2 linked regions of the Pelodiscus sinensis genome follow. The protein of the gene in region 2 interacts with the protein of the main gene of each other region in a biochemical or structural test. Links are inferred from orthologs where the notes say so. Each region holds a gene or a part of one and is shown on either strand. Other genes may lie near its edges.

Evidence for each region. The genes of interacting proteins can lie anywhere in the genome.
Region 1: the proteins of ERBB3 (region 2) and TNS3 form a complex in vitro, tested with the Homo sapiens proteins (2 studies listed by BioGRID and IntAct, with this or other methods). The link is inferred for Pelodiscus sinensis from reciprocal best matches to the Homo sapiens genes ERBB3 and TNS3.

Annotation. Positions count from the first base shown.
Region 1 is NC_134712.1:158,286,824-158,294,164, reverse strand, and holds the start of TNS3 (tensin-3), read right to left. Parts: upstream 3,072-7,341; 5' UTR 2,709-3,071; coding exon 2,607-2,708; intron 1-2,606. UniProt on the Homo sapiens protein: May act as a protein phosphatase and/or a lipid phosphatase. Involved in the dissociation of the integrin-tensin-actin complex. EGF activates TNS4 and down-regulates TNS3 which results in capping the tail of ITGB1.
Region 2 is NC_134729.1:4,212,909-4,220,028, forward strand, and holds the start of ERBB3 (receptor tyrosine-protein kinase erbB-3), read right to left. Parts: upstream 3,089-7,120; 5' UTR 2,829-3,088; coding exon 2,744-2,828; intron 1-2,743. UniProt on the Homo sapiens protein: Tyrosine-protein kinase that plays an essential role as cell surface receptor for neuregulins.

The DNA.
Region 1 (7,341 bases), on a different chromosome or scaffold from region 2:
GAATCAGCCCATCCTACATATGATGGTGATTTGTCCAACATCATACAAAATATACAAAGGGGAAAATACAAAGGGGGAAATCCCTTATTGGCCTCAAGAGCTCTCTTTCCCAGGTCCAATGATTCTCCAATGGTCTTTCATAGAGGTAAATCATGATGGCTATGAACAGTCAAGAAAAGCAAATGAGAAAGGAGATCATCCTGATGATTAGAGCATTCACCTAGGATATGGCTGCCAAAGTTCAAGTCTTTGCTCCAATGACTATTTGACGATTTATACATGAAGGCATGCTTTAATAGGAGAGACATAGTGACCTTAGGTATATCTGCTGATTAACAGCCCATCTTCCATACCCACACTGCTTTTGTTAGTCATGCTAGGTAGAATAAAGCTGTCACATCCATGCTACCCTCATACTTTCACTTGCAGTATAGACATATCCTCTAAATTAACATGGACGAAGGCACAAAGAAGCCATGGGAGAAGATCTACAGCTCTGCAATCCTCAAAGCTTCAGAGTTTTGGGCCATGTCTAGACTACAGAGTTTTTCCTGGGATATCGGAGGTATTGCAGAAAAACTCCGCCACGTCCAGGAAATGCGTCTGCTCTTCTGACATTTTTTTGCAGAAGAGCAGATGTGCTCTTTTGGAAGCTCTGTTTTCCTCCTTCCACGAGGAAGAAGGGCTCTTCTGAAAGAGGAGATTTTTCTGAAATTTGGCCCAGTGTAGACAGGCCAAATATCAGAAAAACCTCTTCCGACAAAATTTTCAGAAAAAGGTACGCAAATTGCCAAAAAAAAGCGGCAGTCTAGACATAGCCTTGGTTTGTTTAGCAAACAAAAGTATGGATGCTTTTCAAATTCTAGAATGAGCAAAGCTGGGCTGAAACTCCCTTAGGAGCAAGATTTCCACTGAGGCTTCATCTAGACTACGGAGTTTTATCGGAAAGAGTTATGCAAATTGCTCTCCACAATTTGCGTACCTTTTTCCGATTGTTTTTTCGAAAGAGGTTTTTCTGAAATTTGGCTCATCTACACTGGACCACATTTTAGAAAAAACATCCTCCTTTGGAGGAGCCCTTATTCCTCATGAAAAGAGCAATACAGGGGCTTCCAAAAGAGCACTTCTGCAAAAAATGTCAGAAGAGCAGATGCATACCCTGGATGTGACAGAGATTTTCTGGGATACCTCTGGAAAACTCCATAGTCTAGACATAGCCTGAAACTCCTCGCATGTCCAACACCTATTTGTGCCTGAACTGCTGAGAAATTGTCCTGTCCCCTGAAATATTGGTCCTTACCCTTCCAGTCCTGTCCACATCTAGCAAGTCAAGGGGAGCACAAAAAAATTTTTTTTAATTAAAAAAAAGCTGAATCTGATTTTTCACAAAACAAGTTTGAAGTGAAGTCATGGAATCCAAAATGATCCACCCACGTGTATTCACAGTTGTTCTTTCCAGGGTTTCCACACAAATCAATTGCATTTTTCATTTAATAATATGATAATATTGAATAGCTGTACTGCTTGGTTACTTCAGTTTATGCTAGTGGAACTCCACTTACACTGGCAGATACACTTGTGAAACTGATGAATCATGCCTTGCAAGTGTGACAAGCATAGTTCAGCTCGCAGATTAATAGGAGAATAATATGCATTTATTAACATTGTAATTGCTGAATTCAACACTCAAACTTTGAAGTGGATCAGACCAGCAATCAATTAAAAGGAAATTTTCAACTTTGGTTAGAAGCCATGTCAGCTTTATTCTGCAATGCTAAGAATTCATCAATAAAAGTTGCAAAGTGCACAGAAAAGTAGTCAAAGGACCTCCAAGGATACCCAAACCTTTCCTTTTATTACATTTTGTGAACAAATTAAATGATATTTTTTATTTTCCACATATTATCTGGTGTTCCATCAGGCAACTGACAAGCTGTTTTCTGTAATGAGGCAACTGGTCCATAGCCGGTGTGAACACATGTATTTGCTGCTCACAACTTTTGCCTGGTAGGTGATCCTATGGTTACAATGGGTGACGTGCACCCACATAATGCTCAAGTTGCCACAATCACAGATACACTGGCTTCATTAATGAATTGCTTTTTATAGCAGTACAATAGCTTTATGCAATATCCCAGAGGGAAAGAGTCTTTTAATTGCTTTCTTGTTTACTTACTAAACCACACAATTTAGCAACCCACAATGGCCCTCCCTGTGGCTACTGTGGATTAAAATTATCCTGTACATTCTGCATGTGAGAGTTTGGACCCGGACTACTGGAAACTAACATGGATTTTTCCTCTTATGTACACACATAATATTCAGGGAATGGGATGGATTTCAGCACCTCAAACTTTGGCAGGACTTCTCAGTTTATTTTCTTTAATTAAAGCATATTTGCTGCACATATCCAACCTTGTTATACAGAACCACATAACAAATAAATCGTGTGCAGACTGTAGGATTTGTGAGTGGGAAATAAAAGACAATTTCAGCTTTAAACAGTGCCGGGAGCCCAAAGTAATCTGATACGTTCCTGTTCTCTCCCCTCAACCCCCAGCCTCACCTATATTAGTTCTTTGGATTTGTATACAGATTCCACATACCTGAATCATGATCTCAGCCTTGTCTTGTATCAAGTAATGATGATCCAGTGGCACTGTGCAAAATTCATTCCCTAGGCAAGCCACGCTCACTCTACAGCCCATAAGGCACTATTGGCATCTGGTATAACTGCAGCCTCAGCCTTTTTAATCCAGGTCAGTGAACGGGACTCATCAACTCCACTTCTCTGGTCTCTTTCGAAGGTAACAACCCCAGATTTGCTGTGCGCCTGCCACCTTTTGCTGCCTGCACTTGACCTTTTTTGCTTCTTGGAGCAGTGTCAAGCTGAAGCCCTTTTGTTGTGCCCGGTTCTGCTGCTCTCAAAATCCCTGTCTTTCTGCCGGTTCTCTTTCCTTATCAGAATCCCATGCTGACCACATTGTGCCCCTTCTGAGGCAGGGACAACAAATGAGAGTGCTAGTGTCTAAAGCTATGTCTCCAGCTGGGGAAACTTAGCCTTTCCTATCCTGGTGGGAGGGTTTTTGGATCACTGAATGGTATGGAGACAATAACAAGGAAACTAATAACTTGGAAAACAGTCTGTTTTGAAGGGTGTGCTCCTTTTGGAAAGAAGAAAAGAGCTATCCAGCAATCTGTCACTAAGGCAAGCTGATAATACCAAAGTAATTCGAGAGCAAATAATGGTTGTTTAAAGTCGACACTAAGAAGGACCTTGAAAGCACAATTTTAGAAGGGGAGAATCTGTAGGAATTTCCTGCTTCTTTGTGTAGTCCGTCTGCCTGTGTACATTAATTAATTCCCCTTGGCTTTAACATAACTTACTTTTCCTGCCTGCAAAATGATGCACGCTGTTAATGGGGAGGAAGAATAGTCAAGTGGTTCAGGCAAAACACCGGCAGCCCAGAGACAGGGGTTTGAGTTCTATTTCTGCCAAAGACAAGCATGATCTTGTGCAAACTTTCAAAGGGGAATGTAATTTTGGAGGTCTTAATTTTTTGCATCCCAAACTTTAGAAAACAAAAAGCCTAATTTTCAGAGGTACTGAGTGCTGGCAGCTCCCACAGAAATCAATCAGGAAATAGATGTCTACAGCTGAGCCCTCAAACTCGATTACATTATTGTGAAACTCTGCTCTCTACTCTTTCTTTATCTCAGCTTCTTCCCCTGTAAAATAAGGATCATACAGAATATAATACTTCCCTTCCTCACTGGGGTGTTGTGAAATATAAGTTGTGAGACATTCTGATACCATGAAGATGTCTGTAACTGAGTGGTGGTGGGACTTTGTGATATATTTCCAAAACTGATAATCTTAGAGTCCTATCGTCAGGCCCACAAAGAAGAGGGACAATGGGGGAAGCTACCCTGAGGCCCAGTGATGTAAAAAGGCCCAGGACTCCCAGTCACCATTGTGATGGCGATGGCAGTGGCTGCAGCATTGGGTCCTTTAAATTGCCTTTGTGTCCCCAGGCAGCCTGAGGCCCTGCCCCTTCTGGGGGCATGTAGCTGCTCTCCCCCCCACGACCACCACATACACACACCTTGCTCAGGGCCTGGCAAAGTCTATTTGTTGCCGTGCCTATCAGCAAAGGGCCCATCAGTTTTGCCCTTTCCCACAATGCCCTTTCCCAGAAAAGGTAATACAAGTTGTACCTCCCTTAACTAGTACTCCCTGATCCAGCAACCACAGAGCCCAGGAAAAGTGAGGTCTGGCGGTGGGGCAGGAGCGTGGTAGGGGACACCAGCAACCCAGTGTGTGTGTGTGAGGGAAACCGGTGGCACAGCAGAGAGTTCTGGCCCACCATGGAGCTCCAGCCTAGGCAGTGGCCAGGGAGCTCTGTCCCCAGCCCTCTGCCCCAGCCTTGGCTGTGCATCTCCAGCTCCAGTCGCGGAGCCAAATGGCTGTGGAGTTCTGTCCTGGCTGTGGAATTCCAGCTGTGGTGGTCTGGCCTGGCAGCAGCAGGGCTGGCAGCATCTAGAGAGCCCTGGGGAGCTGGGACAGCAGCAGGGGTAGGCTGGAGCACAGGGACCTTCCCTGGCACAGCAAATCCCCTAGTTTAGGACCATTCAGGTCCTCAGGGTGCCAGACCAGTGAGGTCCAACCTGTACACACCAATCATTTATAAACATTCAAACTGAGCTGAAATTCCATCATTTAAAGGTTCAAATCAAAATAACTTTTGTTTCCTTTTCTAATTAAAAAATCCTGTTTAATTGCTTTTTATGTTATTGTTTATTTGGCTTGCAATAGTGCCTAGAAGACCTGAGTTCAGAGCTCCATTTTCTTAGCCTTCTGTAAGGTAGCTATAGTCACTCAGCCTCACACCTCATAAAATGACTTCAGGCATAATATAATTGCCTAGACGTGCTCTGAATGTCATGCCTTTTGCTTGATTGAGTCCAGTATCCCCACAGAAATAAATATGGCTGTCTGTGTTGGGCACCTCTAACATGTTCTACCATCAATTTGGACTTTCCACCAGATGTTGGAACTTATGCATGTGTTGACCGTTTGTCAAGGCAGCAGTTGCAAAGTACACTGAGGCAGTTTCCGTGGTGATTTAGGCAATGAAAATAGGCCCTCAACAACATATCCCTAGTTGCAGCTGCAGGTTCTGGTCACAGAGACTGACTCCCCAAGGGGGTTTTATCACCAGACAAAGGAATAGATTGAAGGAGGCAAGGCAAAAAGGTTGGGTTATTTGTTTGTTTGGGGGGCTGGGAGGGTTATTGGTACAAATGTATTACCGAGTAAGCCTTTCATTCTTAGTGTATACACAATGCATCTTAGGTGGTACATGACTAGGACTCCTCACCCAATTTGATCTGTTGGGTGGATCATTAGCAGGTACTGACTGGGAGTGCAACATGAACACTGAGCCATGGAAAGACTCAGATCTTGAGGAGCTTGGTTGTATGGTACCATAATAATGAAATTAACTATGTTTCTTGTGAAACTTCTTTGGCTCAAAAATCTTTAGTTATCTTCAGGTCTATTGAAATCCTATTATAGGAATACTAGAAGGTTTACCCAGGGTGGCTCAGGTTCTTAAGTCAAATAATTTTTGGTTTTCTTCATTTAAATCATTGTTCTAGGTTGGGGCTGGGGTAAAGGGTTCAGTATGCAGGCTTCCCTGGGGAGAGAGGAAAACCTAGCCCTCTCACACTGCAGCAGCTTGGGTCCAGGAAAGAAGTGCCTCTCCATGGCTTCTACAACTCCAGGGGGCAAAGCTGGGGTAAGGGTGCATGTGCCCTGGCTGGGGGACAGACAGACAAACTCTCTGAAATATATAGTAGACAACTACTTTTTTCCACCCCTGCCCCCCGTTGGCCCAATGGGGTTATAACTTTCCTAGCACCCATCTCTGGCCCCTTGCTGCCCACCTGTGGTCAGTCTGCACTATAACTCCCTCTTGCCAAAGCCCTCCCTTTCAATTTTATAGAAACAATTGAATTTCAGGCATATCCCATTATCCTGGCACAACCGAACCCTGACCTTGCCTTAAATTATGATGATGAAGTTGCAGACCAAATGTGATGGTCCTAGCTCTCACCGTTTAGGAGTTCTTGAACAAACGGACTCGCAGGTGGACGAACAGACAGATGCACATTTCTAAAATATATAATAAGAAATATGTGGAGGTCACTTTTATATGATTCTCCACCAGCTAACTGGTGAAGTGTCCAATCCAACACCCAGCTGGAATCAAGTCATCTGAGATTCTCCAGACTGACAAAGAACATCCAATCCCATTTACCAGAAATGAAAAAGGGCCTAATGTGTTAAAAGAACAAGGAATTGAGGAGCCTACACTTTTGTGAGGAAAGACTCGTGTCCAGTAAGATTAGTCTGACAGGATAGCAGTTCATATTTATATTCCCTACATAGTAACTGATGATATGGGGTTCATCGTGTAGCTAAAGTATGGTTGACACCTTCTGAAGTCATTTCTAGTATCTTATTTCAATTAAGTTTTCACTTTCATTTCTTTACCACTTTGGAAACACTACACATTGGCCCAACCACCATTCAAAGATGGCCTAAATTTTTTCCCAATGGTTGGCAAACCTCAGTGAACCAGACAAACTGCAGGAGAAGTAGATTTAGATCCCATTTCTACAAGGTGCTGGGCCATGCATGTGAGATGCTGCAGGTCCTCAATTCCGATTAATCAGGAGCTCAAGTAGCACATCATGGCATAGGATCAGGCTCCTGGTCTTTATAATTTGGTAGCCATACATGCACATTTTAAAGGAAATATCAATAAGCAAATTTACTTAAATGTATATGCCAGCTGGACAACATTGTTGATGAGTTGCTTCTTCTTTAAGAAATCTGTTTAGAGTTTCTTGATTTCATGCATTTACATAACTATATAATAGTCGTCCAATCTATCTATATATTTTAGAAATGTGCACAAGTCTGTCAATGAGTCCATTTGTTCAAGAACGCTTCCTAAACAGTAAGAGCTAGGACCACCAAATTTAGTCTGCAGCTTCCTCTTAGCTTAACTTAAAGCAAGTTTGGTTGTGTCAGGGAAACGGGAGTGCTAGAAATTGGACTGTTTTCCACAACATGGAAAGGGAGGGGGCATAGCGGGAAGGGACACGATATTGAGAGTATGCACTGGAGGCAGCAAGTGCAGGGGAGATCTATACAGCATATTGGCTCCAGGGGGCAGCTACACCACCAAGGGAATGGGCAGCAGTGCAGGTGCTAACCATCTTGCCTTCCACCAGACCAACTAAGTAGCCCCCTTGCCCCAAACCCTCTTC
Region 2 (7,120 bases):
TCCGTCGCCGAGCGCTCGTGGGAATCCCCTGTGAAAAGCCGTCATCGTGCGCTGGCCTCCTCCTCCTCCAGAGATTCTCCAGGACTCCTGGGTCCCTGCCGTGGACAATGTTCCCCATTAGAATGTCAGACCCCCTCCTGGAGAACACTCCTCCTCAGGAGTCCTTCCACTGACAGGCTAGTGGGAAACTGAGGCAGGGGGTTGCCTAAAGCCATACAGCGAAAGCCAGACCTGGGAGTAGAACCTTGAGTCCCAGCTCTCATCACTAGGCCCTGTGCCCCGCCCAGGGCTGGCAGCGGAAGCCAGGTGCTCTGCTTGCAAGGCAGGACACCACCTTGGTTGGGTGATGACTCAGCCAGAGGCTCATTAAGAAACTGAGCCAGCTGGCTGGGGATGATACGCTCTTACATGCAGCAGCCCGGCGTTACTTTCAGTCCCTCCCCCCCCCCCCCCCCGGAAACGCTGCCCTTTCCCCCCCTCCGAGCAGCCCAGTGCCTGCCAGGAGGTCCCCATGGCGTGTTGCTTTCAGGTGGCTTTGCACCGCCCCCCTGCCCTAGAGCCGCTCAGACCCGCATGCTTAGAGAGCCCCCAAAACCGGCTATGGGGGCTCTACAGGAAAGATTCAGTTCAGAACAATCCAGCCAACCTGCGCCTGCCGTGGGGCGCAAGGCCAGGGCATCACAGCAACGGAGGCAGCTCCCTACGTCTTCTAAGGCCTCCATATGGCTCGCTGGGAGCTGCCCCCAGGATGGTAAGAGAACCAGGTCGGCAGACCTGGCAGGCCACTGTGACCAAGAGCTCAGGGCAGGGAGTCTGACCCAGCAACTCACTTCCATACATGGGGGGATGCTGCTTCTTCCCCTCCATACACAGGGAACCAACTGCAGGGGCTGGAAACCATCCCCCAGACTGGTCCCTAGCAGCCAGATCAGAGCCCAGGCTGGCTCCCGGGACCATGAGCTGGCAGGGTGGACGAGACCCATTATAATCTTCACCCCAATAGTTTGCCCTGGTGTTGCCATCCAAGGATCTGAGCCCCCTTCAGCACGAACCAATCAGCCCTGCAAGAGAGAATCAGCGCTCCTCCCCCTGTCATGTGGGGAAACTGAGGCACGGAGCCGGAGGAGGGGAACAATATGCCCACCCTACCCACCCCCTCTGTCACAGGACGTCATTGGGCGCGTGGGTGAGGCATCATTGCCGGCGTGGCAGAGAAGCCGGGTAAGATGGGGGCTCTTTTGAGAGGGTGGCAAAGCGCTAGGTCCCAGCGTCACTCTCAGAGTGAATTGTTCCCGCTGGCCATATGCACGGCTCAGCTGGGAATAAACCCACTGCTCTTTGCACCCTAGGCCCGCCCAGTTGTTTTGTTGCTGATTTCACCAGCCCACGGAAGAGTTTTGAAAGTGCCCCACCCACCAGCGAAACGGCCTTCCCGCCCCACAAACACACGCAACAGGTGCCCAGGGAGCGGGCGGATGGCCGGGCGCCAGGAAACGTTGGCCGTTCAAATAGCACCTTTAATTCCAAGTGCCTTAACTTGCCAAAGCCTGTTCATCAAGTGTACTCAAGAGAGAGGCCCCGCGGAGAGACCTAGAACTTGTAAAGCAAGATACCAAACAGCCCCAGACTTGGCCCTCCCTGCCCGGCCTTATCTGCAAGCATCTCGCTTTCCCGCAGCCGGGTGCACATTCCGACTCGGCCTCTCGGGAAAGAAACCCGAGGCTCTCCCGCATGCTCCCGTGTCTCGTTAATTTCTCCTGCTTAAACCCATAGGGGCTGTGATCTTTGTTGGGGGGGAAAGAAATGCGGAGGGGGGGGGATCCTCCGGGCCCTGACCCTGAGGCAGGGCCATACCAGCACAGACATGATGGTCAGGCCAGGGGCTTGACGTGGCACCTGGCAGATCAGCCTCCTTCCCGCAACCCCCAGAAATCAAAGTCACAAAGAGCCACCCCGGCAGCTGAAGGCAGAGGCGCCGCAAGCGCGAGGCTGATGATTCTCTTCCAAAGCCGTAACCAGTACAGTCCCGCCCCGGCACCCTGCGGTTAGTCCCGCACCTGACTCCCCTAGGAGCAGGCACCTGAATCCCTTTGAGACTTGGGGCCCTGATACTGCCATGAGCTCAGAGACCCAAGAAATTCACTCCAGGAAGGGTTCATGCGGGGGGGGGGGGGGGAGGTCAGACCAAGGCCAGTCCTGGGTAAAAGTGGCTAGTGACTCGGGGGGGCTGGTCACACCCTGCTGCAGCTCGTCGGCAGGTCCCCTCCCATCGGCTCCCTAGGCCACGACCTCCGGGCCTGACCTCTGCAAGGCACTTGCCCACGGTGCCTGTAACCTCCGGTACCAGTGCAGAGTCCAGCCCCCTGCTTCCCGGGAGTAACCTCTGGGCCAGATCCACACCCGCTGGGGGGCTGCCCGGCCCGGGGCCTGTGAGACCCCCTGTCCCGCCCTGCGCTCCCCAGACCCCTGCAAAACACCCAGCGCTAAACTCTGCCCCGGAGCAGGTGGGGGGGGAGGGGTAGTTCTGGTGCCTGTGGGGTGGGGGCAGGGACGGTCGCCCAAAGGGGCATGAGGGGGAATTACGATTTTGGGGGGGTTCGGGGGGGCCCTCTTGGGGCTCTGCCCCTCGGTAGAGCAGGTTCAAAAGCGGAGCCTGAAGCGCGAGTGACACCCGGGATACAAACACCCCCCCGCTGTGCCCGGCTCCGGAGCGACTCCGAAGCTCGCTCCTGCCTTGACTTACCCGCCTGGGAGGCCACGAGCTCCGGGCGCCAGAACAGGACCACGAGCCAGCAGGGGAACCCCGCCGGGAGCAGGATCCTCCGCATTTCTCAGCCGGGGCAGGCAGCCCGGACGGGCTAGGACATGCCGGGCAGAGGCAGCCGCCACCTGATCCCCGCTGGGGCAGGGAGAGGGGCTGGGCCGGGCCAGGCGGCGCCTCTGGCGGCCGGTGCCTCGGTCCGCGTCGGCAGCCCCGCTCCCGTGTCGCCTGCCCGGGCAGCCGCTTTGATCCGCGCTCGGGACACCCGCAGCTGCTGGAGCGGGTACAAACACACACACTCTTCATTCAGGAGTAGCTGCGCCGGCCGCTCATTGGCTGCCCGCCCCAGCCAATCAGAGACGGACCAGCTGAGGGGTGGCGGGGGACTGGGTCTGAGCCCCCTTGTGCCCCCACCCCTCGCCCCCTGGGCTGGGCAGGGCTCAGCCAGTCGCTGATCGTCGGGCAGGTTCCGGCTGCACCAGCCACTGGGTCTCTGCCCCAGGCAGCTTACAATGCCCCAGGCATGGGTCAGAGAAGAGATCCCGCCCTGCGTCCCTCAGCTCCTACCAGACAGTGCGGGGCCTACCTGGCATTGAAATCTCCAACTCCCGTGAGGATCTGGCCCCGGGGGCAGAGACAGGAAATGAACCCAGGTGTCCAAGTGGGGAAATAACCCTATACCCTTTGGCGGGGGAGGCAGACACAGCGGTGGAGGGGGGGCATCACAAGGGAGCATCAGAATTAGAACTCACGTACCCCAGCTACGAGCCTGGGGGCCAACCACGGGCCCATGCCCCTATCTTGCCCCTGCACTCCTTAGCGGGCCTCGCCTCGGCTTCCCACCCGCGTTTTGTTTCTGCAGTTGGCACATGCCACCCCCAAGCTCTGCTCTGCACCTGTCCCTGGTCGCTTGGCCAGTCCAAAACTTCTGCTCCCGCCCATCATCAGCTGCAGAGCACTGCACATCTACAGCTGGGCGCACGTCTACAGCTGGGCGCACGGGCATTGTGGACAGCTGGGGGGGGGCACGTTACAGATTCCAGAGTGGGTGGGGGGAACAATGGCCGCAGTCAGGCGCAGGCCTGAGAGGAAATGAGCTCAGAGATGGAGGCGGGAGGGGAGCTGGGTCGTCAGCAGCATGACGCACTCCTGGTGGGCGCCGGCAACTCCGCACCAGCCCCATGGCGGGCATGGAGCCAGCTCAGCAGCCTGGCAGAGCTCTTCAGGCAGCCCCCCCCCACATTACCAACATCCCCTCCGGAGAGTGGCGACTTGCCCCATTCAGTCCTTGGCACCCAGCCCAGGAAGTCTTAGGGGGCAGGGCCCATCTTTGTGTTTATACAGCACGAAGTCCCGTGACTGGCAGCCCTGGTCTGTGGCTAGATTGCGGGGGGCAGAGCAGGGCTAGCTGCGACCATAATAGACCTATTAAACAGCCTGCAGAACCCAGCACAGCGAGGGGTGGGTTAGTGAGTCGGGCACCAAGAGCTGTTACCATAATGCACCTAATATGAAGAACTGGTTTCAGCCCAACCGCTTCTTTTCATATGGGCCAATATCGGCCATTTTCGGGGACCATTTTCTAATCTCCTTCATGTTCAAGTAGGGACTTAGAGGTGAAAAGCCCCAGGAATCCCTGAGCAATAGGGCCTTGTAGCCCCCCCCCCCCACACCACTTCACTCTTTGCCATAGGGAGTTAGGGACAGTGGAAACACACCTGGTTATTTTTACCCCTTTTTAATCAGAGACTCATGTAGTCAGTCATTGGCCCCAGGTGAATTCTTGGCCCCGGTGAGTTGTTGTGGCAGAGAGTTCCACAGGCCAATCACACACTTTGTTGCCTTTTGTCCCTAGGTCACGAGAGAAAGTAAACAAAGGTTCCCGACAGCCCTTCTCTGCTATCATTTTCAGTCCCTGTGTCCTCTTGGCCAGGGCAGCAGTAAACAGACCCAAACCTTTTCTTTTTCAGGCCTCTAGGGTGGCTCTCTCCTTTCCCAAAGCTGCTGGAGCCTCCAGGAGACAGGACCCCAAACACGCCCCTAAAATTACCAGCCTGGTTGATCAGGATTTGGAGCTGAGCCTGCACCTGTTCCAGCTCTAGGGCGCCCCCCGGTGGCCATTTCAGGGACTTTCTCTTTAGGCCTAAGCTCTGGCTGCTGACAAAGACGCAGGCCACTAGGATGTCACATCATCTCCCCGCAACCTCCAGTTCCTTGCTGGGTCCCCAGCAATTCTCCCAGGAAACGGGGCATCAGCCTGGCAGAGCTCTTCAGACAGCCCCCCCCACATTGCCCCCCCCCCCACATTGCCCTCAGGGCTGGTGCAAAGGGGGCCCCGCCCAAAGATGAACTGGAGCACAGGAGTCTGCTCCCATCCTGCCTGCATCCCGGCTGGGCATGTTCTCCAGACACCCAACACTTCTGGGCCTAGGCTGCAGACAGCTATGGGAGGCCAGGCTGGTAGGGCAAGCAGCCAGACCCTGTCCTTAGCGAGAACAGGGGCCCACTTGGGCTGAGCTAGGCCTGCTTTGCTCCACTTGAACCCACTCAGTGCAATAGCACCACTTAGCCAAGCTCACTCCAGGAGCAGACCATGCTGCTAGATGGCACACGAGCTGGGCAAGTCCTCTTGCACCTACACACAGGGCTCTAAGTGCCAAGCTGGAGGAACCCTGGCTCCCGCTGGATACCCATGCACAGCCCATGGGAGACACGCTCCCTGCACGTGCCAACAGCTAAGGGACAGGACCGGTTGCCCAGCTTGTGCGGTTTCTGCAGCGTTGATTATTTAGCAACCAACAACCCTGACAAGGCCTCCCCAAGTCGTCCCGCAACAGCCACACTCTGCAATACACCCTCCACCCCCCAGTCTGCCACAGATGGGCCTTTGGGCCCCCCTGCCAGCCCAAAGGGTTCATTTTATGCTGTGAGGCCCATCCACCAATTGCCATGATCCCAGGCAGGGCCAGCCCCTGGCATGCATTGAGCCCCCCAACAGGATGCAGCAGAGTTCTGTCCTACAGTAACTGCATGCCTCAGTTTCCCTGAGCACTGTACTAATCCCTAGCTCAGGGCTACTCAACACACAGCCCACGGGCTGCCTGTGGCCCACAGCCTGCTTATGGCCCACAATACAATTTGGCTACGTCCAGATTGGCATGGTTTTCCACAAATACTTTTAACGGAAAAGTTTTTCCGTTAAAAGCATTTGCGGGAAAGAGTGTCTAGATTGGCACGGACACTTTTCTGCAAAAGCACTTTTTGTGGAAAAGCGTCCGTGCCAATCTAGACGTGGCTTTGCGCAAGAAAGCCCCAATCACCATCAGGGCTTTTTTGCACAAAATACCGCGTTGTCTACACTGGCCCTCTTCCGCAAAGCATTTGCACAAGAGGGCTTTTGCCCAAACGGGAGCAGCGTAGCATTTCCGCAAGAACACACAATCTTACATGAGATCGTCAGTGTTCTTGCGGAAATTCAGGCAGCCAGTGTAGACAGCCAGCAAGTTTTTCCATAAAAGCAGCTGCTTTTGCAGAAAAACTTGCCAGCTAGACGCAGCCATCAGGTTTATACAGGGCCCACAGCGGGGATCCTTTGAACATGGCTCCACTGGGAACACACTCCACAATGGCAAATCAATATAATGGTCTTTTGTCGATATGCATTTTAGTAAATTCCTGGACTGTCATGGCTCATTAAAAGTGGTCATAGGGGTGGAAATCGGGTAAATATCGCATTTTAATATCAGAACTGACATAAATGGGGCCTGCATGTTGTGTAGTCTTGCCTGGCAGTGTGAAAGCTATTTGAATATATTTGCATGTATAGGCAACCACTCTTACGTTGCTGCGTGTGTTGTATCATTGTGGCCCCCAGGGCTTCCAAAGTTGAGTAGCCCTGTCCTAGATAGTGATGGGAATTTCAAGAGTGACTTCCATGGAGGGAGACTGCCCCAGCCTCCCTCGCCCCCTCCCCAAAGGCTAATGCCCTCTGTGACTTGAACCAGAGGGGGTACCAGGTGATACCTTTTGCCAGGGAAGCAGGACAAAGGCTGGAGGAGCAGCCTGGGACCAGGACCTGGGAGCAAGTCAGCAGCAGATGGCTTGGGAGGCAGGAGGGCCACAGCCCTGGCTCCGGGCCTCCTCTCCCCCCTCCACCGCCCAAGACGGATGGTACCGGCTGCTTCTGGTTCCTGTGCTGACAAGTCTGTTCTATGGTGTGTCCTTGTGGACTAATATTTTCTGTTCTATCTGCTGAGTTGCATCTAACTGTGGCTAGGAGTGCAGGCGCCTCTGCCCCACACTTTGGGGACACAGCCAGTGAGCTATGGAGAGACTCCTGCCACCCCGGAGAGCATCTAA